4 linked regions of the Struthio camelus genome follow. The protein of the gene in region 1 purifies or fractionates together with the protein of each later gene. This does not show direct contact. Links are inferred from orthologs where the notes say so. Each region holds a gene or a part of one and is shown on either strand. Other genes may lie near its edges. The genes, in order: RAB7A, PLEKHM1, VDAC2 and ARL8B.

Region 1 (6,966 bases):
GCTAGTAATCCCTTGCAATCTGTGCCCTGTTCTCTACCCATCAGCAGAAGCATGGATCAGAGACCTGCCATGAGCTAAAGGGATTACAATTGCTTCCTATGGTTGGTGTCTGGTGATCAAGTCTTGTCCAGAGCCAGCTTTTTATTTTCATGTATTGCTGCTGCTGTAACACTTAGAAATCAACTGAGGATTGCAAAGGTGAAAGCATTAGTAGATTAATGGAGTGGTATTTGTACTGCAAGCAGGAATTAGAGACGAGGGCAGGCAAAAGACTCTTGCCAGTGGAAATGCACAGGTGGTCATGCAATAGCAGAAGATTTTTAATGTACAAAATGCCAGCAGAGGCAGAGTGAACCTGCTTTAGACAAGAGTAAATCAAAGAGTGACAAAGCTTGGAATACAAAAGCAAGATATTGTATGTTTGCTGCATCTTAGTTCCTCTTTTTTATTTCAGTAAGTTAAATCATTATAATGATAATTTGAGGAAGCTGGTCTGGAAAGGCAGAGGTGGTAGAGGAAAGCATTGCAAAGCTAGTTGCGAGAGCACAGCAAGGATCACAGGACAGACAGTTTTCACTGAGCAGTTATTGTCACGATGGGCTGGTGCTCAATTTCCCAGGCTCCACAGGCAAGGAAAGATCCTGGGGATGTGTCCAACGAGGAGGGGGAAGGCCTGCTGAATAAGTATCAGAGGAATGAGCAGGGCTCACTCCAAGCTTTTAATGTCACAGATGGCCAGAGGTGGAGTGGCTGTGTGTCCATGGGAAGGTGGTGAGCGCATTATGAATGCAGGCACTTTTGGGAAAGTCACATGTTCACAGCTAATGTCTACGGTTTGCAGCTACTACAGCTAAGCTTCCGTGCAGGTTTTCTGCGTAGACCTCTCTGCAAGCCCTCCCATTAGCAACCAGCGGGTGTTCTTGTGTCCATGCTATTTCTATTCACAGTGTCTTTTTAGGGACTAGAAAGGGAGGGCCCATTTCGGTCAAAGGACAAGGGAAGAGATGGTATAAGGCATATCATGTTTTATTGTTTCTAATTGGATCAGAAAGATTGGTAAATAGAGATGATTTGTCACAAAGAGAACAAGATCAAAGCTGGAGATATTCTTACTTCCTGGTTTAGAGGGATGGGTGCGTGAAGTATGTTGAGGTTGCTACACTGGTAAATGTCTGAAGACTGATCGCTATAAAATCAGGGACCCACTCACTCGTGTCCCTCAGAGCGAGAGAACTAATTTCTTCAGAGTGATGTTAGTGATTGGGAACAACTGGCATTGAGTTTCAAACTGATCCATTTTTAAGAGGTTTCATTGGGTTTTGCTATTATGAAGGGGTCAGATGAGAAACGCTGTTTTCTTCGCAGGCTACTGACGCTAAGCTGTGCTGTCCAGCTGGGCTGGGCTGCTCAGTGCACAGCGTTCCGGTTTCTTCCAGGCCCTGGGTTCCTTCTGGTGGGAAGGTGTGCATGTGTATGTCCGTATGGCCAGGCAGAAACACAACAGCCTCCACTCAGTACATCCGTTTACCACTTTCTTACCATTGTCTTTTCCCTTTCATTCTGCCACTGTGAACGTCAGTGTGAGCTGTGCCAAAAGACGGGAGACCTACATGGATAGCAAGGACCTCTCTGCTGACATCGGTCCTCCTGAGCGCCAGGATTCATATGTACTTCCAGGCAGGCAGGATCTTGCCTCGTCAGTCTGAGGACATGCAGCATTTCCAGAGAGGATCAGAAACTCATCATGAGCAATTAGTCCATGACACCGCTGTTGATCATGCTAGCAAGTGACACAGGAGCTTGGTGTGAGGTTATTCTCAGGATAATAAAAATATGTAATAGATGTAGGTTTTACGCTACACTGGTGCCAGGATCGCTCGGTGGTAGAGAAGAAGGAAGAACTTTCACCCATGGTTTTTGATTGGCTTTCATATCATGTAAAAAGAAAGGAAAAAGGAAGCTTTCAGGAAAGAGAGCAGAGGAACACTGTAACTCACCATTAATGTCTGCTCCTAACAGCCCAGCATGTGGGGGGTCTCCTGCTAAGGGAACTATGCAGACCGGGGCAACCAAGTGCTCTGCCCCACCTGCTGTTGGCATGTCCACGTGTCCAGGGCCTGCAGTCCTGGGGCTGAGCTGAGAGGATATTTTCCTTCTCATCTAAAGAAGACATGCATCTTTGCGAGGGTTTTCTCCATCATTTCACCAAGCAAGGCTTTTCCTCTTTTGTTAGGTCCTTGTTTTAATTGATAACAGGTTCTTTTGCAGCTCTCTGCATTTAATGGAGCACCTTAAAAGCATTAACAAAGTAGATGTCATGGGCTCCCCTGTCTTGTGAGGAGAGTGCCACAGTCCTGCAAATATAGAAATTAGAAAGCAGTAATAAACTTGCCAGCATCACAGGAGGAGAACCCAGCAGCCCTGGCTCCCACTTGCCTTCTGTTAGTCTGCATTTCCACCACAACCTAAACCAGTCTAAGGAGCAATGACGGTGTCCTGCCTCACCCACGCCTTCCCTTGCTTCAGCTGCAGCCTGCATGAAGCCAGTTCAGTGCACTAAGCTGGCAGAGAAATTATCTTGTGCTCCTTTTCGTGTTAGTTGTCTGCAGATTTAATGCTGAAGTGACTCAGCGCAGGGTCAGACGAGAGCCGGCGCTGGCATAAGGAAGGGAGAGCGTGAACGTGTGTACTTGAATTTGGGCTGGGCTGTCCTTTGGAGCCGAGGTGGTTTTCACAGCAGTCAGTGTGGAGGCTTCCCTTGACAACAGAGACTCCAAATCGGGCTCAGTCCCCTACGCCACTGCTGTCGGACTTTAGTTCTAAAGTAGGACACTGTAAATAGCATGCCCCGTGTTCTCTGTGATGGATAGTGAAGGGATTCAAACCAGGCCCAACAGATTATAAGGATTTTAATAGTACATTTGCTGTGCTCTGCGATCATAATTCTGTTGATCTCAAACCGCTTTGCAAGCATTAATGAATCAAACCTTGCAGCGTCTTTCTGGGGTAAGCATTACTGTTTCCAGGTTACGCACGGGCAAATTGTGTTACCAATGCAGAGAAGGCAAGCAATTTGCCTAACGTTACGTGGCAGATTGTCTCAGGACAAAATAAAGACCAAAGAGGAAAGAAAAAGCACTCTGTTACCAAGCTAAAAGTCCTGCCTGGTGTATACTGTTCAGAAGCAATTTCCTTTTTTAATGAAGCTATAAGTGGCTTCATTACTTTTGCCTCTTCAACGAGCTCTAAAAATACTTTTTTCCTTGGTTGCTTTAGTCTTTGCGTTCCCAAGCTTATGGGCCAACTACAGCTACAATAATCATGTGACGTGGATGAACACAACAGAATATTCAAGTAAGCGCTGAATAATACAACACGCTCGCGGCCAAAACGCCGAGTAGGAAACACAGAGCGCGCTTGTACCACCAGGATGATGCTTCTTTTCTACAGCGAGGTGCTAGAGAGTTAGTTTACGTAGTCCCATTGCATCTGCCTTCGTTGCTGATCTTGGCACTGGTTGTTGCTTGATTAATCAACCTGAATGTGTCTTAAATTGCCATATTTTAATTTACAGGGTTTTTTTTTGTTTTTTTTTTTCCTGTGCTGTTGCTACTATCTCACTCCGGATCCCAGAGCAGCTGGGCCCGGCAGGGACCTCTGGAGACACCTGGTCCGAGCGCCCTGCTCACGCCAGACTGCCCGGAGCAGCTCGCCCAGGGCCACGTCCAATTGGGTGCCCAGTTATCTCCAAGGATGGAGCCTCCACAACCTCTGGGCAACCTGCTCTCCTCCCATGACATGCTGCAGCCCCCCCCCCCCCCCGCTGACGCCATTTGGCGGGAGCCGTCACGCAGCCAGCCGCACACGGAGGCTTCGGCGCCCCAACATGGCGGCCGGCCCGCCGTCACGTGACGCGCCGGCGCCGGCGCCACCGCCCCTTCCCCCTTCCCGTTGGCCCCGCGGCGGCGCGCTGACGTCACGCGCGCCGGGCGGGCCCCCGTGACCGGAAGTTGTCGGGGGGAGGCGGAAGTGAAAGCGGGGAGGCGGTTGGGTCCCATTAAAGCCGAGCTGAGGCGAGCAGTGGGGGGAGGCAGCGAGTCTCGGGCGGGCGCCGCGGCCACACGCAGCACGGTGAGTCCGGCCGCGAGCGGGGCCGGGGGTTCCCCGCGCACCGTCTCCCTGGGGCCTGGTTGTTGTTGGGGGGGGGGGTGGCGGCGGCGGCGGCTCCGCCCCGGTGCCGGGGGCCGCGCGGGGCCCCTCCCGCGGGCGCCGGGCCCTGCCCCGCCGCCGGGCCCCGGGCGCGGCCTCGCCGCTCCCCCCCCCCCCTCCTCTTCTCCCCCTTTCCCCTCGACGGGCTTGGGGCGGCCTGCGACGCCGTGCCGCTCGGGAGGACAAAGCCGCCGCGGGCCGGGCCGGGCCCAGCCGCCTTTCGCCGAACAATGGAGCCTCCCCTCAGGAGAAGTCTCAGGCGGCTGCCGGCGGTGGCTGGCAGGGAGGCGAGCGCGTCGCTGGCGGTGTGCGGCTCCGCTGGTGCTTCCCCTCGAAACGTGACGAGGGCTGGGGCCGAAAGGTGTCGTCGGCGCTGGTCTTGGGGCAAGCGCTGCCCGGGGTGGTCGGTGGGTAGCGTTTTTAGGGGTGAGCAGCTTGCCCCCGGAGCAGTTAACGTGATGGAACAGGCAGCTGAAAAGACTGGCAGTTTATTGCGAAAGTAGCTCCGTGTGTTTGTGTAAAGCCTGAGTCAGTTTTTAAGAAGTATTAGACTAGGTGTCAAAAGTGCTTTTTGGCTGTGAGTGTGTAGTGAAGTAAGTGATAAGTTACAAATCTGCAGGTCCATATAGGCTAATAAATATGGAAATATCTAATAATAGTACTTAGGACAACTGTCCTGTCTCCTGTAAGTAGAGGAATTCTTTTTAATAGTAGAGTAGCTATAAAAAGGCCCTCTTAACCTAAAGAGAGGTGACCTCAGTGTCTAAATGCATGAGTCTTACTGAATAACTTAATCCTTTGAGTTGCATCTAGACTCCTTAATATTGCCTTCTTCAAAAATAAAAATACTAGCTGACAAGTAGAGCTGTTGTAATATGTTTGTGTAGGATTTTTATATATAAACTGAGAGCACATAGCAGAACCAAGTCCTCCCAACTGTAAGCAAGCTGAGCTCTACTTGGCAATTACTAAGTTGGAAGCTTTAGGGCTTCCCATACTTGTCCTTGGCCAGCCAACTCTGTTTTTTGCCTAGTACTCTGCATCTAGTATTACTGTAGCAAGTAGAAATTGAGGTTGGGGAGTGAAGAGCTCTCTTTCTGGGGGAGAATGGTACCTAACCAGTTGTGCTACAGTACTTGGTTGGCTCTGACTTGAAGGCTTACTCGCAGCTATTTTATGTTTACAAGCTGCGATGATACTAGTAGTGCCTGATGGAAACTGCAGTTGGGCCATGCTTCCTCCAGGGCCAGGCTACCTGAGCAAATGTAGCCTGTTTTCTTAGTAGCAGTATTTGAGGTGAAAGTGGGTGGAGTCATTTGACTATTCCCTGTTTAAATAACCAGGGCCTCGTTGCTGTACTACTTTAGGAAGAACAAGTATACTTGTCTCTTTCCCCTTGTGACTTCCAACAGCTGACTAAACACATGACTCGTGCTAAGTGAACTAATGAGTAGACCCACCATGTCTGGCCTGAGTCTTTAGCATGCAAAGCAGCTGTAATACTGTTACTTTCAAGTGTGCTGCCGTTTATCTTCTGTGTGCTGTTATGCTAAAAGGCTACTTCTGGTGTAGAAAAGCTGTAAGATGAGGCTAATCTGCCTCCTCAATAAGGAAAACTGTTTTAAAAACCTGTGGCAGTCCCTTGTTCTCTTAACCTGCAGAATTAAATGTAACCAGTAAGATCCAAAATAGCAGTTATATTAAACTTGCCTCTTGCCTGTGGTGTCACTTGGTGGTCTAAGTCCTCAAATGCCCTACTAATAGTTCACCGTGGCCCTCTAGGAATGGTACTGTAAAATACGAAGGTGCCAAGCTTAAAAGCTGAAATAGCTGTGTTGCAGTGGCTACGCTGCAGGCATCCTTGTCCCTGCTCCCCCAAAGCCAATGGCTCAAACTGTGCAAAGCAGCATAGGCATGTTGCAACATGGATGAGTTCTTAGCTGAAAGTGAAATCATGGCTCTGCTGTAGGCTCTCTTCAGAACTCACCTAGGGAAGATACTGCTCTGCTTGGTTTACTACCCAGACTGGATGTTTAGGGACAAGAGGGCTACCGGGTGCAGTTTCTGCAGCATCTTAAAGCTCTTGTTTTAAAACTCCTGTGCTAGAAGGTCATGTGAACTACCTGCCAGAGCAAATCTCTGGCAAAGCTTGTCCTTGAGGAAACATGACAATTGCAATCAAACCATCTGTGCACAACTATAAATAGCCTTGCTTCTAACATGTATTGGATTTTATTCTGACTTCTCTGTGAAAATGAGACTAGTTTATGCAGAACTTAGCATTTGGCTGTAAACAAAATTGTTTGCGCTTGATTAGGATGCGTTTTCCTCCAGTGCTGCATCTTGAGATGGGTGCCTGGCAAGCCATGGTTTAGGAGTAAAGGCTGTGGAATAGGATGGTTGGATGTTTGCATTCCCTAAACAAGTTGCTGGGTCTCTGGGCTCACAGGTGTGTGCTGGTAGTTCTCCCTCATGTTATAATGGACCAATTTCTTGAGTATCTGGAGTAGCCTGGGCATTTGATAGCCAGGCACAGAATTCTCTTGTCTCGCCTGCTGCCAGTGTCCCCAAAAAGCAGTCGTCTGGGCTTCTCAACTGTCACATATACTGCTCTTAAGCTCTGGTTTCTAGGGACCAGCTGGTACTAAGATCCCCTATAGTACAGCAGGGGGTTTAAAGCTTTTCCTCTTGGTGGAAGAGGGTCAAGATGAGAACGTGCTGAAATGCTGAACTGGGCTTTAAAGTCAAGCTGTGCAC
Region 2 (7,620 bases), on another chromosome or scaffold:
TGCTGGCCATATGATACTGCAGGGCATTCGCATACTGCAACCAGGGAAATAAGGTATCACACTGTTTGAAAGCAAGTTAACAGAAGTGACTGGCTCTTTAAACTCTGCATTTTCTGCTCAACACAAGAACTGCCCAGCTCGTTGAAAACAGCTCATTTTAAATGGAACAATGCCATTTATAAAGAACATAATACACTGTTAATCAGAGAGAGCTGTATAGACGTTCACTATCAGTACATACTGAGTCCTCCTGGGACTGGCTTGGCAGGCAGACAACATCTCTGCACAGGCTATGGCATCTCTAACCACAGTAAGGTTTATTGGGATGAACCTTGCTGAGAGGTTTGGGGTGTCAGTGCTTTCTGCTATAACAAGATATAAGCAACGACCTAAGGGACCCCATGGAAAGGAGCATCTGATCCATGGCGTGGGCATGTGGCAGTAAAAGCTCTCCATGCACGTGACGCTCATGTGGCTGAAGTAAATACAAGGTTGAATCAGAGAGCATGATGACCCCAGGCAGCTCTGAGAGCAGGAACGGGACACTGTGGTGCAGGGAGCCCACGGGACGCAGTCCCACTCATCTGCTTCGCAGGCGCACAGTCCGGGGCAGCATCTCAGAGCCCACCGCTTTCTCCAGCCCAAGCAACAAGTGCTTAAATCTCGCTGCTCACAGCCCAGGCACCAGCAGAGGTTATTTGTCAGAAGACTGAGTTCCCTGATCCAGTTCGCTGCTCCATTGCACAGATCGCAGCCAGCTCAAGGCAAAGGCAGGACCGTGTCTCCCAGGGGTGGCGTCACCTCCGCGCGACTGAAACTATGCATAACCCTCATGTGGCAAATCAAGAATCAAGGAGGCCTCCAGGCCCTTTTGTTGCTGCTTGCTGGGCTGAGAAGACAGCTTCATTGTAGGGGGGCTTCCTGCCCTGTTCCTAGGGCCTTCTGGAAGAGCAGCAGACTACAGCTTTGGGCAGCTCCCATGGGGATGCAGGGAGGAGGACATGAAGCATACGAGCACCCTGAAGCTCCTGTCACTCTGACCCTCACCAGATTCAGCTCAAAGTCCCTGGGCTGTGCACCCCAGGGAGCTCTCCTCCCCTCCTTGCCCTGTTGATCCAGCTGGCTCTTCCCTGGCCTCTGCCTTCAAAGAAGAAGTGGAGGCTGGAAAGCTCCAGTATAACCTCCAATTCCACATTTCAAAGATGTGTGACATCCTCTGTGGGAGGAAATGGTTATGGACAAAAGAGAAGTAACCCATGGAGAGCTGACACTCTCCCTCATACTTCTGCCTCCAGCTTTGCCTTGAGAGCAAAGATCGGGCTTAGCACATGGACTTCGGTCACCCCAGTTTGCCAGAAAGATGATACTGGAAGTAAAAGACACCAACGAACAAGACATCTCACCTTGTTTCAGCCCTGGGGGAGGCAGCAGTACTGGGGCAAGGTGAGAAGGAAAAATGCTGATGAGGCTCACATGCAACACAGAGACTGACATGGTTTGTAAAGGGAAAGGCCACAGAGCCATCACATTTCAAATGAAAACGTGCATTGAAACATGTGTATAAAATAACAGGGGTCAAAATCCACTAAGTGCTAGGTTTTACTGCCAGAACATAACCGCAAGGCAGGACACCCAAATGCAGACAGCAGTCACTCTGGAAGGAATCTCAAAAAGGCCCCTGGCAATAAATACAACTGAGGCAGCACTATGACGTGAGAAGAGGGATTATCAAGGCTTTCAGTAAAGATGGTGGAGCCTCTCTGTGCAGGATTGGTGAGGCCTTAGCAGGGAGCCAGTCCAGCTCCAACATCCAGACTTTTTAGAAAGACACCTCCAATTTGCAGACATCAGGAAGGGCCATAAGGGAGGGATTTCCAGATCTCAGAGCAAAATAAGGATTAACCATGTAGAAGAGATACCTCAATCCAGGTCTGTCCCCACAGAGGAGGTTTCTGAAGTTGGTGAATTCTTCAGCAGGCAAAATCAGCATGAGATTTGCCAGGGAGTAAAGCAGCGACAAGAAGGGGGCATTTTTAACCACGGAAGCCATTAAGAAACAACTGAGGGACATGGTAGATTTTTCACCATCGTTTTTACCACTAGGCTGAATTTTCTTCTGCAAGAGGGATTTTAATACACCATCAGAGCGACTGATGGGAGAGTGTGAGTTTTAGCTCTGTGTTATGCTTGCACTGCTGATCTAACATACCAGCCCTTTAAGTCTGCAAGGAGAGAGCAGCTTAAAAAAGTAGCAAGACCGTGACAGGCATGGCACAGGGCCACCGCAGATAATTAGACACAGAGCACATCTGCCCACAGACACAGCACCTGGCATGGGACAGCATCCCGAGCAGGGATCCGGGACAAGTCTGGCGACAGGTCCCCAGCAGCCGCTGTGCCCATGCTCCCTGAGGGGACGCAGCTCCTGGCAGCTGCGGGAGGCTGCGTGCCAGGCAGCCGGGCAAGGGGAGCTGTCGGGAGGTGAGTCGGGGAAAGGGCAACACTCACGGGAAGCGGGGACAGAAGAGGCTGGCGCCTGCCTGCATGCATCCACCACCACCCTGCACCCATCTGCACCTAACTGGTCCCCCTCCGCTCCCCTAACTTACCCCCGTTGCCCTGAACCCCCAAGGGGAGGGGGGTCTGAACCCCCCAGCCCCCTGTTCACTCACCCCACTCTGACACCTGCACCTCAGCCACACCCCCGGCCCCTCGCACCCCTCACCCAGCAACCTGTTCCCCGCAGCCCACCCTCCACCCCCTGCCCCTTGTACCCCCCAGCCCCCACCCTCACCCCATCTGCACCTCGTAATCCCCACCCCACCATTCTACTCCCACTTCCACCCTTAACTCCCCCCAGCCCCCTTAAACTCACCTCCCTCCCCGCTGCCCCCGACCCCCCCCGCTCACCGGCTCCGCGGCCCCGCGCCTCCGGCTGGGCAACCCGGAAGTGCCGGCCGCGCCGGGAGCGCGCACGCCCTCCGCCCCCGTGACGCCGGGGCGGGGCGGGGCGGGGCGGGGCGGGGCGGGGCGGTGCTGTGAGACCACAGCCCCCGGGGGCGGAACCGCGCTGATTACAAGGAAACGCGCACGCGCACCCTTATGTGCACGCAGGCGCACATCTGCAGGCAGGCATGCTAACAAGCACACACAGCGACACACGCACACAAGTGCAGGCAGGCACACCTGCACAGTCACGCAAGCCCAAGCTAGCACACACAGAAGCGCACACAGATGTACAAACATGCATGCACACATATACACTCACAGAGGTATGTACGCATGCACGCACACAGCACTGCCGTGTGCACACAAACACGCGGTGCATCCCAACATGGCAAGGGGCCCAAGCAACTCGTTCCCACCCTTTTGGCAGGACCCTCATCTCCGTGGTCCCTTCTGTCCTTCCGGTAGCCACAACACATGTGTGTGCATGTGCATGCACGGCCCTGGACACGCCCACATGCATGTCATGCACGCTTCCATTCACACGCAGAATGCTCACACTTGTTGAAAAACCTGCTAATTTTAATAGTAAATTCTGAAGTCGTTCCCTGGTATCTATCAGCCAACATCACAACTTTATACAGTTCCCGAGGCACAGCGTAGCCCCCAAGCCCCATATCAGTCCAGCGCCTGCTGCGCTGGCAGCTCCTCTTGCTTCCTGAAGAGAAGAAAAGAGCAGCTGTCAAGCTGGGCTTTCCCCCAGGTGGCAGAGGGACAGTGAAGGAGGTAGCACCCCAAGGTGCTTGGTGCCCCTAGGCAGGTGGGTGTTACGGACCCCTGGCATGGCATGTCCCTGCAACTTGCCACAAAGTCAGCTAAATTGGTTGAAGCTACTGGGGAAGGGGGAGTGAGCCCTGTGGGGCACCCATGCTGAGCTGCACCAGGAGCACTCCCAGAAGCTGAACAAAATTAAAGTTGGGTTGGACTTGTGGCTGAGTCCAACAAGGATGAGAAAGGATGAGAGAAGATGAGGGCGATGGAGGAGGTGACCCTGCGCAGTGAGCTGGACGTGAGCTTCACAGGACACAGATCCCGAAACGGGACCACAGCCAAGACCAGGGCTAAACGGGCAGCAGCAGCGCTGCACCGTGCTCATCCCTTCTCCCATCCCCTGTAGCCCTGCTGATCCCATCCGGCAGGGCTGGGCACCTGGCACCCTGAGCACATGGCCTCCCTAGCACCCTCCTCCATGGACAGGGACCATTGCTCCCACTCTCAGGGTGGACCTGGGTGACAAGGTGGTGGCATCAGCAATTGCAGCAATTGCTCTGGGCAACTGCACATCACTGTGATGGCAACCTTTCTTGGTGACATAACAGCAAGGCAGCAAAGGTAAACCCTGGCAGTTCCCACACTGGAACGAGAGGTGAAAGACAAACACAGGCGCTGTCACCATCCCACTTACTTTAGTTCAGCCCTGTTGAAAATCTCTTCCTCGTCTGAGGACTCTTCATCGTACAACTTCTGAGCCATGTTTTTTTTATGCTGGGAATCAAGGGGCTGGTACATGTCTCTAAGCCACAGCGGTTTGTTTTTGCTCAGATCTGATACATGAGAGCCCTGGGAAGCATCAAGCAAGGGAATGTTTCAGATATGAGAAATAGCTGGGAGCGCAGTGAGGGGGGCAGAGGGACACACATCTCACGTTCCCTCTGCTGTTACCTGCTTTGTAAGGTCATGTGTGTTCTTGCTCCATCTGCCTGGCAGGAATTTCTGAAAGAACCTTAAGAATGATAAAAAGTAAAGGAAGCTGGTGATGGCAGTTAGTGCTAAGAAGGTCACTTGCACCCTGCCTTGCTGGGGTCCCCCTACTCAGTACAGCACCGTGTTTATGGTCAGGCAACTGGCGTTTATGATGCTGTGAAACATCTGGATTTAGTGGGTTAGGGATAAAGAAAGGGAAGGAGAAAGGCTTTTATGCATCATCTCTGCAGAATTTACCTTTCCTGGCCCATTTGCAGAGTGGCATGGCCGGGGTGGCTGCAGTGGGTGTCAGTGCCCTGCCGTGGCAGAAACCTCGACCTACTTGGGGTAGTTTCATCGGACCCTAATGAAGATGAACCTCCCCATAAAGGCGAGTCTTTTAAGTGAAGGGATGGTGTTTGCCAAGATGCCTGGGAATTAGTTCTAGTTTAGCCTGGAAACAAGAGCATCACAAGAAGAGAGGAGCAAGCTCTTAAACAGCCTCTCTGGGGAACGGGGAATGGGGCAGGGAGAAGTGGGGGCAGAGCTGTCACTGCGTACATCAGAGAAGGGTCATGCTGGGCACCAGGGCAGAGAGGTGTTTTCTCTTGCCTACAAAGCATGGTCAGGCCAGTGCTGAGTGAGCTGAGAACCGGGGGTGTGGCACGACGTGGGAGCCCAGGGCCAACATATCTGCTGCAGCCAGCATTTATGGTTGCTGTTTTGGTTGCACTGCAAGGAGAAAGGCTGCTGGGGGGTCTGTGGAGGTGCTGGTTGAGATCTGAGCTTATAGTGGTGCTGATTACTCACACTTTGGGGTCCCTTTTCTAGGTGTGTTAAAAAGCTACATAAACATATCCACCCTGGTGACTAGTGACTCCTCTGCAGCCAGTGCCTGAGTCCTTGGGGGGCTCCACGATTAGGCGCTGTTCAGAGTAAAGACTGTTTGTGGCCCAGCAGTGGGACGGTGGAGGGAGTAATTACCATCTCAGTCGTGATTTACTGGTGGTTTGGGGTTGGGAAGCAGCTGCAGATTTCTGGGAGCAAACCTGGTAAAGCAGAGAGAGAGAGAGAGACTTGTTACATCAGGATTTTCTTGTCATACTCTGCAAAACAAGGGAGGCCAAAAGGTTGTTCCTTAAACCAAGCATGTTATATGTGCCAGAAGCAAAATTTGTGAGTCTGTGCCAGAAGCAAAATTTTTAGAAAGAGCCCATCCTCCCTTCCCAGCTCCCAGCTTTCCTTGCCTTAGAAATGACCTGAACTCCCAGAGCTCTCCTAATCTCAGAAATGTTTATGTCTGCCTTTCTTATCTGTGCAGTGCTTTGCAGGGTACTCCCCTCCTGTTTAAAGCTAATCCTAAACATGTAGGTAGGTAGGCTTTTAAAGAAATAAAGACTTTCTGCAAGGAGAAGTGCACTAAATGAGGCTGTGCCCTCTCTTCTGCCTGGCTCTGGCAGTGCTCTGACCCACACTGAGCCATTGCACCTTGCTGAAGTGGTCAGCAGCTTCTTTTTGAGAGATTTTGAGCTGCTAGATAGCTAGGGAAGCCCTCCAACGTTTGTTACTTTGCAGAAAAGCTTGGTTTTGGCAAGTGTGAAAGTAGCAGGGGAATTGCTGTACATCTGAAAGCACTTGGCACAGGCAGGAGAGCAGAACAGGGGCAGAAGAGCCTGGAAAAGGTGATCCCATAAGGCCCAGGGTGATGAACAGCAGGGATTGCAGTGTAAAACTCAGAGACAGGCTGATGGGAGAAACTATGATGACAGAGAACCACAGCACTCTCAGAGAAACTGGGAAGTGGGTAAGAGAGCTGTGGCAGTCTGATTAGGTGACCTCCGGACAGCTTGTGACAGATGCTGGGATGAGCCCCCATGGTAGGGCCTGAACCCACGCTGAGCTATGTGGTGTGCATGTCATGACAAGCTTCAAAGGTTGGAAAAAAAGCTCTTGAGCTATCCGGCATGTCCGTAGACATCCACATTGATGCTCTGGGTTTCACGAGCTACACAGGGAGGCATCATCCCAGCCCTGTGCGCTCGAGCTACAAGGCTTGACTGGCAGCTGTCTGTCAAGGGAGTTATCTGCTTACCTCAATAAGACAAATCACTGTGAGAAAGAGCATGATGATGACAGCCACCGATACTGCCACCAGGAGCCTGTTGCCGTAGGCATACTCTGGTTTCTTCTGGTACAGAAGAAGAAAAAATCAGCAAGGGAGAGACCGTTATTCCTTCCATTCCCCATTGTCCAGAAAAATCATATCCAGCGATATCCAGTGTTGGTCCTACCTTCCCTGCGAGTTTCCTGCCTGCCGCCCTGGGCTGGGCTGTGCCATTGGGAACGTTCCCTTCCAGGAAACACCGGCCTGCGAGAGCAGAGGCTCCCTGGTGATCCTGCCTCTCACTGAGTACCTTCAAGAGCAGCCCCATCTTCGAGACCATCTTTGTGCAGGCCAGCTGGACCGCAGGCAGGCTGCAGTCTATCCTCAGGGCTCGTGCCACGTGAGCAATGAACGTCCGCAGGGCTTTCTCTGGGACGAGTAAGCGCAGGTGATATTTGAACTTGGTTTCAAACAGGTCTCCTTGAACCGGCGCGGTGTCTGGGCTGTCTGAACTACTTGGTTTATTGAGGAAATCAAATCCTTCCTCCTTTTGATGCTTCCCATGTGTTTCGTCAGTTTGACGGATGCCCAGTAAGTGCCCACCTGGAGAGGAAGCCTTGTCTTTAGACGTATTCTCTAGCATACTCCTTGCAATGCGGCGGCTGCTGTTAACCAATAGGTTATAGAAAAAATGTCCTGCAGTGTTTAATCTCTGCTCTGGTTTAGGTTTTATTGGTGTGGGCTCTTCCTCTGGATTAACTTCATAGTCTGTCCTGTAGAAAAGCTGATTACTTTTACTCAGACATGGACTCTCTTGCTGCCCGTGC
Region 3 (7,167 bases), on another chromosome or scaffold:
CCTTCCTAAAACATAAGAGGCCCATCCAAGCCCAGCTTAGCCTACACATTTACACCTATGCATTTACAGTTTAGCTTTAAAAAAATAACCATTCTTTAGTAAGGCACTCTAAGCTCTACAACCAGGTCACCATAGCAAGACATCTAGCTCTTGCTGGAGATTACAAAACAAGTTTGCTTTTGCATGGAGTTAAAGTAAACCTGCCCCACTCTGAAAAAAAAGGTAAAGCGCTTAAAGGTTAAAATGGTGTAGCCCAAGTCAAAGTTTATTACATTACAATAAATTACATAAGCCTCAGGAAGAGAAGATTCTATGGCAGAACAATTATCAATCTCAGCAACAAGTCAGAAAACGCTTCCTATTACTTATGCAATAAAAAAGCAGGTGTTATTCAGACCAAATTCCAAGGAAGTGTGGGACACTGCTATTTCCTCACTCTACATTTCTGCTATACAGCAGCTGAATAATTCATTAGTAGTTTAGGTAATTTAGAAAAAGTTTAGCTATGTATTTTTCTCTAGTAAGTGGGTCTTTCCTTTAACTACCATCTCTAGAAGAAAAACTATTTCTAGTTGTAAAGTTTTGTAATAGCCTCTAGCACAAACGTATTTTGACAGTTAAAATAAATGAGCCTTCTGCTTTCGTTTTAAACACTGTTTCCCATCTGAGTAGACAAACCACCAAAGACAAGAGATTTATGCTAAGCAACAATGTCCTGGGAAGTGAGTAAACTGGCATCTGTGTCTAAACTGAAAGGATTACTAGAGCAAAAGGATAGTGCTGCTTTATCTGGCCTAGTTAAGCATCCTTCCCATTGCAAGGAAACTGACAAATGTTTGCCTGACATTCCAGCCTACAGACAAGTGCAAGATGCGTGATAAAAAAGAGTTAAAACAACTTTCACACTGCTGTTCTAGTCCTATGCTAGCAGGAACAGAATATACAAAAGGGCAAGCCGTAAGTTAATTTTGGCTTTGCACAATATCTGATAAGCCAACGTCATCAGCAGAAAAGCCTATTAAATTAAAAAAGGGCAAAAAATTTTTCCCATTTCCTCCACTGTTGGTAGGTTAGCTAGGTTTGTAAATTCTTACAATCAGAGATAGCTTTCTTCAACCCTATTTTGAATTGCCTTTCACTTAAAAGGTGATTAGAAGTGCTTAAAATAGAGATAACATACAATGACAAGAAGTTTGTTGTGACAGCAACTATCTATATCAGATAATCTTCTTCCTCATTTCAAAAACATAGAAAGTAATTAATTCAACTGGGATCTTCATCCTGACCTTTGCTTTATCCCTCTTTTCACACAACCCTAAAAAAAATGTTGAATTACATCTGTTATTCAAGAGCTCCAAGAATGATTTCTTCTTCTGTTAGAGAAAAAAAATTAATCTAACAAAAAAAAAAAGCGTATAAACGTTGTCAGAATTATTACATCACCTCTTTCCCTCGAGGTACTATTTCAAAACTCTTCTACATCTTGTAACTAAACGAATTCCAAGAATTTCTCTACAGATTTCTAACAACTTTAAGACCTCAGGATATTAAAGATCAGGCTGAAGGGCATATTTAAAATAAAGAAATAAATATCCTTGCAGCTTTAAAAATTCTTGGCAATAACTACATTAAAATTGTATTCCAATATTGCAATCAGCATGGAGAAGTAGATTCAAAAATATATTTGGTTAAAAAAAATATATATATATATTTATATATATAGGGCATGACACTGACCTTTAAACTTCTAGTACTACTAAAGCTTAAAGAACTCATTACCCTTGCTTCAACTGTCTCCCTACTTACGTCTCGGAGGCGGACATGCTGGAGAAATAGTCATGGCTAGGCCAATTTAGAGAATCTACGGAGAGGGGGGGAAAAAAACGAAACATCCAGAGATGAACTAGGTGTTCAGAAACCGAAAGCAGGGGGAGAGCGGGGCCTCCCCGGGCCGCCGGACACCGCGTGGGGAGAACGGGCGGCCCCCCCCGGGCGCGGCGGGAGACGGGCGCCCTCGCCGGCGGCAGCACCCAGCGCCCAGCGCCCGCCCGGCCCGGCGCCAGGGCCAGGGCCGAGGCGCCCGCGGCGCCGCAAGGTGAACTCCTCGGCGCGGCCATCTTGGGCATCCCGGCCCGGCCCGGCCCGCGCGCCCTCCCGCCGCCCTTCCTGCAACCGCCGGCGCCGCGCAGCCCGCGGGAGCCCACCCGAGGCAGAGGGAAGCGCGTGGAAACGTGCCGAGAACCGGCCCCCACCCCCCGGCCTCCGCCTCGCCGCCCTCCCGGGCGGCGGCACTGAGGGGCGCCGAGCAGGGCCCCGCCGCCGCCCGCGCCCCCTCGCCCGCCCGCCCCTGCGGCCCAGGCCGGCACCTGGCTAGGGCGGGCGGGCGGGCGGAGCGGAGCGGGGCCGGGGCCGGGGCCGCGGGCGGGCGTCGCCGTGAGGAGGCCGCGCTGCTGCAGCCGCTGGCACTGGAGGGCGAAGTGAAGGAGACACCGATGCGCCCGCCCGCCGCCGCGCAGGACCCCAACGAGCCGGGGCCGCCCCGCCGGCCGCCTCCCCGCCGCGCCACACCCCGCGCCGCCGCCCGGCCGGCCGCCGCCGCCGCCACCAGCCGGGAGGCGCCGGGCGCTGCGGGAGACGCCGTGGACCCGGGCGAGAAGCTGGGCGGCGGCGCCGCGGCTCGACAGGCGCTCGGCGGGGCAGCCCCGGCGGCGGGGCGGGGTCCTGCGGCGGCGCGGGGCCCGGCGGGGGGCGGGGCGGGGCGGCGGTTGCCCGCTGCTGTCGGCGGAGGCCGCGACAGCCGGCGGGGCGCTCCCTCGAGCAAGGGCCGCCACCCCTTTCCTGCCAGCTTGCGTTCGCGCTGGTTGCCCAAGCCGCCCCCCCCCCAAAAAGAACGCCCCCGCCCTGCACCCCACCGCGTAGGTCGGACCCTTGGGAAACCTCTTCAGGCGGTGGCTGCTGCCGCCGTGGGGAGGAGCCGCTGGCGGGAAGGGCCCGCTGGCTGCGGTGCGGCAGCCGGCACGCAGCCCGCAGCGGAAGTCACCAAGTCACCAGGGCAAATGGTTGCTCAGCCAGGAAACCCTGGTAGAGGCATCCTCACGATTTCTAGTTCACCTCTGCGTAGTTGGTTTCTTAATCAACATTTCCTCAAAGGTAGTAAAAAATGTGTTTACAAATACAAATTACAGCGGCACAATACGAAGAATATATTCAAGACCAGTGGTTTAGTAGAATACATGGTACAAAGTTAACTTTCCAGCTTACTAGCAGCAGATAAAACCTCCACAGTTTAGCAGTAAGGCCCAACATGATGCCAGCCGGTATCTGTTAGCTATATCAGAAGATAAGCATCCCTCTTTTTTTCCTGTGTGCAAGTCCAGTACTTTCACAACAGAAGACCCAACAGGTTAATACAGATAATTTTGAATAGGAGAGCTTGGCATGACACAGAGAAATGTGTCTTGATGAATTAAGAAGAAAACCACATGCTGAGAGGATAAACAGCAATAGGAGACAATGGCAACTAGCACATCTGAATGTGCATTGGAACATACATTAGGAGTAAACAGAGATCCGATTAAGTAAAGATGGATTGTGGGCATAAGTTGTTCATTATTTAAAGACATGTATTTATTATTCATACCCAGTGTAAAAATTCATTTCTGAATAGAGATTTAGTTACTTACACAAGATTTCAGTTGGCTTTTTTTTTCCCTCCTCTCTCCTTTAAGAGGAAGATTTTAGTCATGGTTTCACTTTATTTTTTAGCAATCCAGGAAAGCACCAAGTACTCCACCCTGAGTGAAAACTAATGAATCACTTTCTTTACAGAACAAACTACAGACATGGTCTGTACAGTAGTGCATGAACATCTCTATATTAACATGCTTGGCTCCTGCAGATACAATTTCCATCTCCCTTTCCTTTTCACTCTCATTCTCCCCATTCTTCATGCTTACAACGATCCCTTATTTCCTACAGCACATTTTCTAAACCGCAGAGAGCCAAGTCTTCGGGCCTACAATAGCTATCCATCAAAATTACTCTGGATCTTTCTTCTTAGCATCCACCTCAGGGCCTGGGCCACTTTCTTCTCCTAACGTTCAGCGCACACACGTCCTATGCGTGCGCGCCCGCTCTGAATGAGCTGGTTTCCACTCTGAACCAAGTATCACACTTGTCTGAGCCAGTCAGCCATTTCCTCCCACTCGTAGTTTAACTATGTCTGCTTTGCTTGAATACAGGCATGAGTATGCATGACTGACATCAGTGAATCATACGGTTTGCTGGTTTCACTTGGAGGAAAAAAAAAAAAAAAACCTGAATCACTTTAACATTTAAACACAATCTGATGTGTATGTTCTTGTAGTAAACTTCCAAACTCTACTTATCTATGTAGTGTAGTCATGATTACTTGATAAAGAAACATATGTGACCAACCAAAAGAGAGCAAGTGACTGGAGTCTGTATCAGTTTCCAATTAAACAGGTTCAATAAGTTCATGTTCACTTCTAACTCAAACCTGAAGTTATTGTTTGCCCTCCTCTCAAGATAGAGGCCTTCACACATTAGAAACCGAGCAGAAAAAGAGACCTTAAAGAAAGCCATCGAATGAACAAGTAAACTGAGACTTTTCGTTTCAGAAGTGAATTGGCTGAGGGAGTATGAAAGGCATTGTAAAAGTATAACCAGCAGGGAAAGGGTGGAAAGCAGCTGAAGCTGGCAGGGAGCAAGTTTCAGCAAAGCAGGTGTCCTCCTAACCAATGGAGAGTTAAGCTGTGGCATTCCTTGCCACAAGATGTTCAACATTTGAACGGGCTCCCAGGGGAACGAGACAAGTTTGTGGAGGAGAAGCCCGTGAAGGATTACCAACTACAAATCTGCTGAGCCATTACATACAGCTGTGCAATCCCTCCCAAGTCAGAAAAACCACTGAGGTGCAAATAGAGATGTCATTTCAGCTCACTCTCTTCTTATGCTCTTACTTAGGCGTTCATTGGCAACGATATTGGGCTGACTATGCTTTTTGTTTCATAAGGTGCAACCACTCTCAAATAAACCAGGCACGTGAAAAGCCGTAAGAGGGGACCCAGGAAGGGTCCACGCTTTCAGGGTACCTGAAGGGCTCATCCACTACAGACTTGATGCCTTGTAATTTTTTTTCTCTCAACAGTTTTAAAGTAGCCTTACTTCAGTTTAGGTTAAATAATTAGGATGAAGTTTAACTGAAGCCAACTTTTAAGATACGCTTAAAACAACACACACAGAAGCCCTCACCTTTAAATAAGCTGCACAGATTCATACCTAGGTAATTCCTCATCTCAGAGGCGCACCATTGAATGTTATTAAGCCTGCAATTTTATTGCTGAGAAGGCAAGCAGAAGGCAAGCTTGGGAAGCCAATAAAAGAACCAAGTTGTTTACAGGCCCTATGGAGACTAACGGAGGCACAGAGCTCCTTGCACCTACATAGTTCATCAAAGCTGGTTGCCCAGAGCTCTACAGCCAAAGCAAACTAAAATCCAGCCCTTGCTGTTAGGGCCTGTGGCGATGCTGTGCACTCTACTAGCATACTCTCAGCGTTAAACTATCATATCCCCCAATAAAAAATAAGAGGAATAGTGAAAAAAATTCTGTTAAAGAAAAAGGAGAAACTCAAATGAAAACTAACCCATGCAGAGAAGCCTGTACTTATTCCTTCTTTTGGATTTGTGTTTGGCTATTTGCAAATTCTCTCCCTTTCTTCTTCTTCTTCTTCTTTTTGTTGCAGTTTCCATTTCCTCTGGATTTTTTACCTCCTGTAGCTCAAGGAAAAAGCAGCTTTCTAACAAAGCTAGGTACAACTGCCTGACAGACCTGCAAACCACCAGGCTTTCTAACATCCTAAAATGAGTAAATTAATAGGCTTCATTCTGTGGAGGTGATACCTCCTGGAAAGGGAGGGGCAATTGGAGTTTTTTGCATAAAAGGATTAGGACATTATCTCAGCAGCCAGTAAGAGCTTTCAAATAATTAAATGCTGATTTGTAAGTGAAACAACCATTCTTGTAAAACTCATTGGAAAAACCCAGAGAGAGATGCCCAGTGTTCCCAAATCACTTAAGTGGATCAATAGATTTGACTGATTGGTGCAGCAGTTGTCACCTGAAGTAAACTCATTTCTGCTGTGTTATTAACATTTCCCCTTTCATTTCTGATCAAGCTTTCTATCCCCTGACCTTACTACTGTTTGCTTTGCAAATGTTTGTGTCTGATATCACACAGAAGATGTTTTTCCCCGTTTTATACCCCAGAGAAAGCTGGAATCAAAGACAGGACCAAAGCATGGATTTTTTGCTTTTCAGTCCTATATTTAGAACATACCTCTCATACACCATTACACTTAGCCATTTCAATCATCTGTATGCCATAGAAGATTCTTACCGTTTGTGACTGCACATCCTATTACCACATAGTAATAGCAGTTGGACAGGTAAAGCTAAACTTGCTAATGAATTTTTATCAAGCTTTGATTTGTATGCTGGAAAATGCCCGTAATTAAAAAAATAAATAAATAAAGAAAGAAAAGTAGGCAGTGGCTTCTTTCTGAAAGACTTAGGCCAGGCTAGCTTTGATGTGGAAAATACTTCATGGCATGAAAATACTCAGGTGAACAAAATGACACCATAACTACTCCTATGACTTGAGCAAACGTATGAAAGAGCTTCAGCAGGTTTAAAGCAGTGAAATTTAAGCTAATCCAAGATAATGATTATCTCTAAATTCCACCATAGACCTGAGGAGGAAAAAAACACAGCCATATCTTGGAGTAAAACAGAAACATTTATTTTTTTACATTGTCATGAACTAAAAACCCAATCAATAAACATTGAAGCCTGTGGCAGAATATGAGAAAATACTAGGTGTCTAACACAAATAAAGGGTAATCTTTACCATGTTATGCCTTGCATTAAGTACTAGGACACCTACAGTTGCACCCAAGAGATTCCTTCAACTCAACACCCTGCCAGGTGAAGACCTGCAGCTGGGAGCAAATAGCATCTCTGTAAATCCCTGACAAGCCCAGACCAGAAGGAGCGGCCCAGAGTTTAAAACAAGGAGAGGGGAAAAAATGAGGAGTGGTATCTGGGTTTCTTGCTACCAGAAACTAATGACTGGGCAGCAAATCCCA
Region 4 (7,820 bases), about 4.5 Mb from region 1:
ACCTGACAATCACATCATGAGAGTCAGACTCCCTCCCCACCCATTTAATTCTCCTCTCCTGACCATTAAATATGAGAGCGTTAAGTTGAAGAGCTTCAGTGCCAAACACTTGAATGGAGGATCAGTCTATTGGGCTTCAAGCAAGATTTTACAGTAGGAAGAGTGAGCCTTCTTCTTTGATATTGAAGATCAGCAACCTACTATTCACCTATATTCACTGCCTATAGCCTGGAAGCAGAGCCAGTTTAGAGTCAGGTTTCAGTTGCACCACGTGACTGTGGTGCTTGGTTCTGTCATACCATCTCACACCACCATGGCTATGACTTGCAGCTTTGACGGCAAGCCTGATGAAAGCCTGTTAACAGACACTAGCTGGAGAGATGCAAATAACAGAAGATACTGCAGACTCCAGCAAGTAAGGGACATTTCAAGTCCTCAGCTAAGAATTCAACTCAAGATGCAACACAGCAGTGACATAGAGTATGTCTGAATAAGAGCCATAGGCCACCTACATTATGGAAATTAGGAGCAGAAGGAAATGATAGTCTCCCTTGTGAGCAAGTTTACTCATGCACATGGAAAACTATTTTCATTATGTTTAATATCTAATTAGAGACAGTGACTAACATAAAGCCCCAGCAAAGCAGAAGCTGCATTTTTTGTAGCCAGCTACAACTAGATCTCCCTGCTAAGGTTTTTAAACCTTCTAGTCAGACTAAGCTTGGTGTGATTACAGACAAGCTAAGTGTTTGTTTACACTGGAGGCATAAATATTGCCCAGGAGAACTATCAACCTAGAAAAATGTCATTGTCGAATTGGACTTTTCGCCTTTCATGGATTTTTCCACCTTCATGGTAGGCAGTAGTTGTGTCCAGGCTCCTGTGTAACTAGAGGAAAAAAAAAAATCTCAAGCCGGTTACATATGCTTGATTTGATTGGGTACCCACGCAACACAGAAGATTACATTAGAGAACTCCATTAGATTAAACACACTGTTAGAAGACCGGCAACAGCTTTGTTACACAGGAAGCAACCTTATAAGCCATACCAGGTTCCTGGTATGCAATCCAGTTTTCAGAGCTACTCTATAGGACTAGCATCTTGCTGTGTCACTCCTTTCATTTTAGCTTTATAGCATCCCAATGCTTTGACAGCTACTTCCATCGAGACCATTAACTGGTCTGCAGAGAGCAGTTCTTTTCTGGGTGCTAATTTCCAAATGCACATCAGGAATTAAAATAAGCCAAAGAAGCAACTGACAAGAAGTGAGCTGTGCGTGCCATGGGCTGCATTACTCTTCCTGCGAGAAGCAATATTGTGCAGCTCAAGCTAGTTTTGTTTATTTTTTCTTGTTGTTTTCACAGTAATAAAAATGTGACCAAGTCCCTGAGGTCTGACATACTCACTCCATTCCACTCTCCCCACCCCACAAGTCACTAGATTCCCTAACTGAAAACTTGGGAAGTGTGACTTGCTATTTCCAAACCTAAGCCAGCTAACCTAACCAGGTTGCATACTATGCATAACTTCCTTAATTCACTCAGTTTTGCAAGGCTACTTGAATGACACCTACTCAGATAAATTTCTGCATGTGATCCTACTGTGCAGTTGAACAGCTGTAAGGTTCAACTCCTAGCAAAGCAAGCTGGATAAAGATGTCAGCTTTATTTAGCAGTACTTCTACCACTGGAGACAATCTACATAGGCTGAATTGCTATGCAACTAGTACAACTCTACATATCTAGAGTATAGTTTCACAAATAACTCCTCAAACGAGATGTACAAACTACTGCTTTGCTTTCCTGTTTGTGTAGTACCAGCAGCGCAAGGCCATCGCCATCCAGGACTCCAGGAGAGGAAAAACCTGTAGAGTAACCCCACTGCCCAAATTTAGTTGTAATCACAGCTCAACTACTATCAATATCAGCTCTACTACTGCAGATAATTCTACTCAAATTATCCTGCAACTTGGAAGCAGGAACAAAAATGATTGAACAACCTCAACAGTTGCACTTCAGGTTAATCCAGCAACTTTTGCTTAGCCTAAGTAGAGGAAAAGTTACCTTTCACTAGGGTTGATCCACTTCATGCGATTACCATGAGGTCCACTAAGCACTAATATCCTCAACTATGCAATACCTTTACTACGTTTTGACAGCTAATCAGCATAAAAAGGATTATAGGCAAACACAGAAGAACAATCTTTTTCCTATCGAGTTACCCATCCAAGCAACAAACAGCAGCACTCAAAAGCATTAAGGACACAGCCTCAAAACAAGGCCTGCTCAGATCCGAGGCAGGAGGTGCACCCAGCCTCACCCCGGCTGCTCCCATGTCACCAGGTGGTCATACCCCCTGCAAAATAAGAAGGTGCGCCAGCTGCCCACCGGGGCCTCCCCCCCCGAGGCCTCCCTCTCATTCCCCCCCCTCCCAGACCACCCCCAACGCAGCTCACCTCTCGGAGCGGTTTCCACCGCGTGCCCCCCAAAAACAGGGCACAGACGAAGCCAAGCAAGCCTCCCCCCCTCCCCCGGACACCGTTCAGCACCGCGGGAGGCGCCACGGCGGCAGGCCTCCCAGCCCGCTCGGCCCCGGACCAGCGGGCCCGGGCAGGGCCACGGGGCTCCCGCTCCCCGGGGAGGCTGCGAGCGCACAGGGCGGCGGCGGCGGGGGGAGGCGGCCCAGCGCGGCCCGGTCGGGACCCCCCCGCCCCGGGCGGCCGCTCACCGCGATGACGTTGACGAAGGTGGTCTTGCCCGAGTACTGCAGCCCCACCAGCGTCAGCTCCATCTCCTCCTTCCAGAAGAGCGAGCGGAACCAGTCCAGCAGCCGCGACAGCAGCGCCAGCATGATGGCGGTGGGGACGGCGGCGGGGACGGGGACGGCGGCGGCCCTGAGGCGCTGCCTCAGCGCGGGCTCCGGCGCGGCCTCCGCGACGCCCGCTCGCTGCGACGCGACCCGCCTCGCCCCCGCGCCGCCGTCATATGACGCCGCCGCGCCGCCCGCCAAGAGAGGCCGCGCCGCCGCCGCCGGCCCGCCGCGCCCGCGCCGCAGCGGCCCCTGCCGGCAGCGCCGCCGCGCAGCGCCGCGGGAGGACCGTTGCGGGGGGGGGGGGGGGGGACGGCGGCGGCGGGGAGGCGGGGGGAGGGGCGCCCTCCTCGCCCCCCGCGCGCCATCTTGCGCCCCCGCCATCTTGTGTAACGCCTGCCTGTGGGCAGCGCGGGGTGGCGGCTAAAGGCGTGCAATACCCCCCCCGCCCAAAAAAAAAAAAAGTAGCCGCCCACCTGCGCTTAAAATCCACTCTCACAGCCCACTCGGGCACAACTGGCCCCGCTCTGGAAACGCCTGCCCGCCCGGCGTCCGCCCCTCCTGCGTGGCGTTTCCACCCAGGCGTTGGCTGAGGCCTGCGGCGCGCCGGTCCGGGCGGCGGCGGCGGCGGGGATCCCTCGGCTCTCGGGAGCCGAGTGGGAGAGCCAAGCGGCGCGCGCCCCGTGTGTTTTGTGAAAGCAAGGCTGACGGGACTCTCGTAATTGCGCTTCGGGGGCTGGGCAGCTTCGTTTCCGTCATAAATGCCGCACCGTGCTCCAAGCGATGCGTCCGCGCCCCAGAGAGGCGCCGCCGAGGACCCCGGCGCGCGGGCCCTCCATAAAACCCCCCGTCGCTACCCGCCCTGCAGTTAAACCCTGGCGTTGGCTGCGCGAGGCCGGGGCAGCAGGGATGGCAGTCGAGCAAATACAGATTTACCCGGGGGGGGGGGGAAGAAAAAAGAAATCGAAAGGGGTCTAAAAGCTGCCCAAGAAATGAGAACATTTCCCCCTCTTTGAAGTATGATTTTTTCCCCCTCTCAGGATTTCTTAGGCCGAGGCCGAAACGTTTCCGTGACTCGAACCATGAAGAAGCACGAAACGTGGGGTATCGGACAGGGTTTGTTGCTTGCCAATACTTGGGAAAATAACGGCTTTGCACTTGCCTATATCGAAATATTTTACAAACACTGGGGGACCCACGCCCCCGTAGCGCACAGCGGGATGAACAGAGTCAAGACGGCGGCGACGGATTAGCTGCAGCTTGTGCGTCGCCGCTGTTGCTTCGTTAGCTGCTGGTGGGTGGGCGGTGGTCTCCATCCCTGGTCGGACGGCGCTAAAAACCACCTCGGCCCCAGCGAGGCTCTGCTGGACCTTGCAGACAACCAGAGCGGCGGTGTCGTGGGTGCTGCACGTTGGCCCGGGGCTCTCTTCCCCCCCTTCTGCCCTCGCTAAATCCCCTCTCCGCAGCATTTCTGGGGACTCCAGACCTGGCAGAGGATGACCTTATGTACAGGAACCGATTTTAAGCGCGGGCAGACCCTCACGCAACGAATGGAGCTGGCAGGAAGCCCCACGGGCGAGGAAGGGGGCCAGGGTGGAGCTGAGCCCTGCGCCATGCCGTCCTGAGCTCCGCGCCGCGGCACAGCTCCACGCTACCCTCCAGTGGCTAAATGTCATAGTTTGACCCGAATACGCGAGCGTGTGGCGTTCAATAGCTGAGCCCCGCAATATCCCTAGCGGAAACAGTCAGTGGCACCCGGTTCCTGCACGGCTCGCGCTCAGGTTTCTTTGCCGTCTCTGGTTTGGCTCCCTAGAATTAATGGGGAAAATGCAGCTGCAATGCTTACACATCACGAGCACCGATTTTATCACTGACAGACATAAATGGGTAGATCTAACATGCCAGAAATGTGACTGGCATATCCCAGGAGGGTCGTCATTAATATCAGCATTGGTCTCGCTTGAAAAAAAACCGAGCGCCCCGACCGCTCGCCGAAGCGTGGGGCGCTCACCAGCCTTCTGGGGGAGGCAAAATAGTGCATTGTTCTGTATATTGCATTCCTCAAGGATCTGGCAGCATGTAGCGTTCTTTGTTAATTGTTTGTGGGTTAAAGCACAGGCGCAGAAAATCTCCACGAGTCTCTCTCTGACCGTGGTTTGCTAACATATAAGTTGATCAAGATGTTGCAGGAGCTAAAAGCTGTGGTATGTCAAAGAGCCAGTCGGAGCGGTCAGGTGCTTCCCTAGATATGGATCGCTGTTTGGCACATAAAAGCGTCCTGAGGTGCGCACGCATTGGAGTACACGGAGTAGGCACTAGCACATCTTATACAGCAATCATGTTTGCCATGAGGTGATAAATGAGTATTTTGCTCCTGGGAGCAAATCCAATTTCCTAATTCAACCACTGGAACAAAATAATGTGAGAAGGACTGAGTAGTTCTGTAGCTGAAAACAACAACATGATTCCCCCTGTCTATTCCGGTACTGTGAAGATATCACGGAGATTTTCCACGTGTATTGCAAATTCTGTGTAAAGCAAGGCTCATCTCCTCTGTGGCATGGTTTTCAGGCAATAGACTTTGTGATTTATTACCAGCTGCTTCCAGAGCCAGCTAATGGGGATGCTATGTCTATTCTCTCTCAAGCCACCGAGTAGTTCAGGCATTTGCAGGTTCTCATATGTCAGCGTTTGAACACTATGAGTGCTTCTCCCAGTAAAATCTTGCTGTAATGTATAGTATAACAAAAGGCCTGCAAGTGTGTTTAAGCTTAAAAGGAATGATAAAATTCATTATCTCAAGTTAATCTTCTGTTCTCGGTATTCATTTCAAATCACAGGACTCTCCAAAATCCCTCTCACAATGAGCGGAAAGGCCTCAGTGAGCACTGCTCTCGTTACATTGTTTTATGGACTGCTCCATACAGGGTTTCTCAGGCCTTTAGACTTTGACTTTGCCTCCTCATTTCCACCGTCAGCAGTCTGCATATGCACCCTGGGAATCGTTGCACTCATTATTGCAGCAGTGCAGAGCACTTAGAGCAATGCAATTACTGTTGCTGTGGCTTGCAGGATATTTCTGGCATCTGAGGAGGACCTGTCTGCAGATGGCCACATGAGAAGAAAACAGCATGTAAAAACAGGAGTCAGAGCATCACTTTCTGCGTCTAGACATTTCCTGGAAATTCCCTGGAGGTTACAAAACACAAGAGGAGAACCGCTGGACTCTCACGGGGCTACGATAAATAAGCCCCAATATATTTAGGATACATAAACAGCTGGGTAGACATTTATTTGAATTACAAAGTTCCTAAGTTACCAAACTTACGTAATCATGTAAAATAGTAAATTGCTATATCCTCAGATGAACCATAAAAGTTTATAATGTTTGGATAACGCAAGAAAAAATATTCTACATCTCCTATTAAGGACAAAAGCTTCAGGTTTTTCCATGCCCGTTCAGGAAAGCATTGACATCACCAAAGGTAATACAGAAGACTTCATCAGTATTATATGGTGCCAAATTAGTACTGATGGGTAAGCGATGTGCACATGTGCGTACATGGGAATATTCTAACTCACCTGGTAAACTAGTGGTCACAAGTCATTTCAGTAAGCTGTATTTTCATTTTTGCTGTTAAAGGCCCTCCTTCTCCATCACTGCCGGAAGGAAATTCTCTAAATCACGCTGCATTATTTTGCTGAGTCAACAGATAAGAACGAGGGGCCCAAATCTGCTCTCGTAGACCAGCGTCAAACAGGACTGAAAAAGCAAACAGAACTGCTCTGGCGTAAAACCACGGGGACTGCACGCGAGGGCACAACAGTCTGCGGTCAGCCCTGCCAGCCGCACCAATGGGATCCACGCGAAACCTGTCGCTGGCCCTTCAGCTGCTTGGCAGCTCCCCGGCCTTGCTGGGAGAGCTGTGCTAACTGGTTTCTCTCTGCATACTGTCACGCAGGAGGAATTATATGCGCTGCACGCAGGGAAAAAAGCTCCTTGCCGTACCTGCCTGCTGCAGCGAACGCGGTGAGCTGGACTGTGCAGGACGGCGCGTGGCCCGTCCTGGAAGGCACCTGCTATGAATGACACCGCGCTGCAGCCCTCAAATGAGAAATTTCACCGCTCCCCAGCGGTAGGGGAGGCGGCTGCGCCGGTATTTTCCCAACCCAAAGCATGGCTTTCCTTTGTATCCATAAAAAGCCAGCTAATATACTCCCTGCAAATAAGCTGTGATATGAGCTACGCTTTCAAAGGTCTTAATCCATTTAATGCTTCATTAACTCAGAAAATTTCATACCCGTGGTTAGCAGTATCAAAGAGGAGGGAATGCCTGGCACCAATTAGTTCTAATAAGGAGCTAAACCGTGCGCAGATTTCTGAGCCTGTCATTAGTATGAGAAAATAGGACGGCTCCTCTCAAAATAGAATATCTTACTGGACATTTCTTTAATTTGCCCTCAGCTAAAGACTACTCCCACTAGCTGATGCAGGCAAAGAAACTAATTGATCAGATTAGCTACAGAAGCGTGCTGCGGGACCCTTCCGTCTACTGCTGAACGAGGAGCCGTGATAAAATAATAGCATCAATGTTATTATGCGGTTTTGCATTTCTTCTTAGTCATATTTCATACTTTAGGGAGGCCGATATACGTGCCTTCAATTCGCCTTGACACTAATTTCCTTTCAAGAAGGACTGAGCCGGCCGTTTGCAAAATGCCTTTGAAATTGGTGGTGCCTCAGAGACGAGGCCTCCTCGTTCCTCCGTGTCAGAGGCGGCAGAAACTCTCCCAACTTGCGAAGCGCATGGAGAGAGAGTTGTGCCTACCAGTCGGCCCAGCTTAGGCACTCTTGCTTCTCAGCGCCGGCAGGTGGTGCCTGGATCCTGTTCTGCATTTTCAAGTCGCAGTTAAAAGACTAGCAGGAGACGGGCTGGCGGGCGATAGCGCGCGTGAGCTACGTGTCAGCCTCGCGCTACGACTGCCCAAAGGCAACGGGCACGGACATCGG

Evidence for each region.
Region 2: the proteins of RAB7A (region 1) and PLEKHM1 purify together in Homo sapiens (affinity purification with western blotting; 5 studies listed by BioGRID and IntAct, with this or other methods). This does not show direct contact. The link is inferred for Struthio camelus from reciprocal best matches to the Homo sapiens genes RAB7A and PLEKHM1.
Region 3: the proteins of RAB7A (region 1) and VDAC2 purify together in Homo sapiens (affinity purification with mass spectrometry; 3 studies listed by BioGRID and IntAct, with this or other methods). This does not show direct contact. The link is inferred for Struthio camelus from reciprocal best matches to the Homo sapiens genes RAB7A and VDAC2.
Region 4: the proteins of RAB7A (region 1) and ARL8B purify together in Homo sapiens (affinity purification with mass spectrometry; 4 studies listed by BioGRID and IntAct, with this or other methods). This does not show direct contact. The link is inferred for Struthio camelus from reciprocal best matches to the Homo sapiens genes RAB7A and ARL8B.

The regions. Positions count from the first base shown.
Region 1 is NC_090955.1:6,976,555-6,983,520, reverse strand, and holds the start of RAB7A (ras-related protein Rab-7a), read left to right. Parts: upstream 1-3,953; 5' UTR 3,954-4,131; intron 4,132-6,966.
Region 2 is NC_090966.1:116,404-124,023, reverse strand, and holds the start of PLEKHM1 (pleckstrin homology domain-containing family M member 1), read right to left. Parts: upstream 3,005-7,620; 5' UTR 2,911-3,004; intron 1-2,910. Other genes in the region: LRRC37B (leucine-rich repeat-containing protein 37B), read right to left, coding at 3,625-3,664, 4,412-4,566, 4,669-4,729, 5,674-5,738, 6,782-6,877, 6,981-7,620. UniProt on the Homo sapiens protein: Acts as a multivalent adapter protein that regulates Rab7-dependent and HOPS complex-dependent fusion events in the endolysosomal system and couples autophagic and the endocytic trafficking pathways.
Region 3 is NC_090948.1:26,044,035-26,051,201, reverse strand, and holds the start of VDAC2 (voltage-dependent anion-selective channel protein 2), read right to left. Parts: upstream 3,006-7,167; 5' UTR 2,913-3,005; intron 2,567-2,912; exon of another isoform or gene 2,367-2,566; intron 2,303-2,366; exon of another isoform or gene 2,205-2,302; intron 1,862-2,204; 5' UTR 1,841-1,861; coding exon 1,807-1,840; intron 1-1,806. UniProt on the Homo sapiens protein: Non-selective voltage-gated ion channel that mediates the transport of anions and cations through the mitochondrion outer membrane and plasma membrane.
Region 4 is NC_090955.1:2,490,735-2,498,554, forward strand, and holds the start of ARL8B (ADP-ribosylation factor-like protein 8B), read right to left. Parts: upstream 3,010-7,820; 5' UTR 2,852-3,009; coding exon 2,729-2,851; intron 1-2,728. UniProt on the Homo sapiens protein: Small GTPase which cycles between active GTP-bound and inactive GDP-bound states.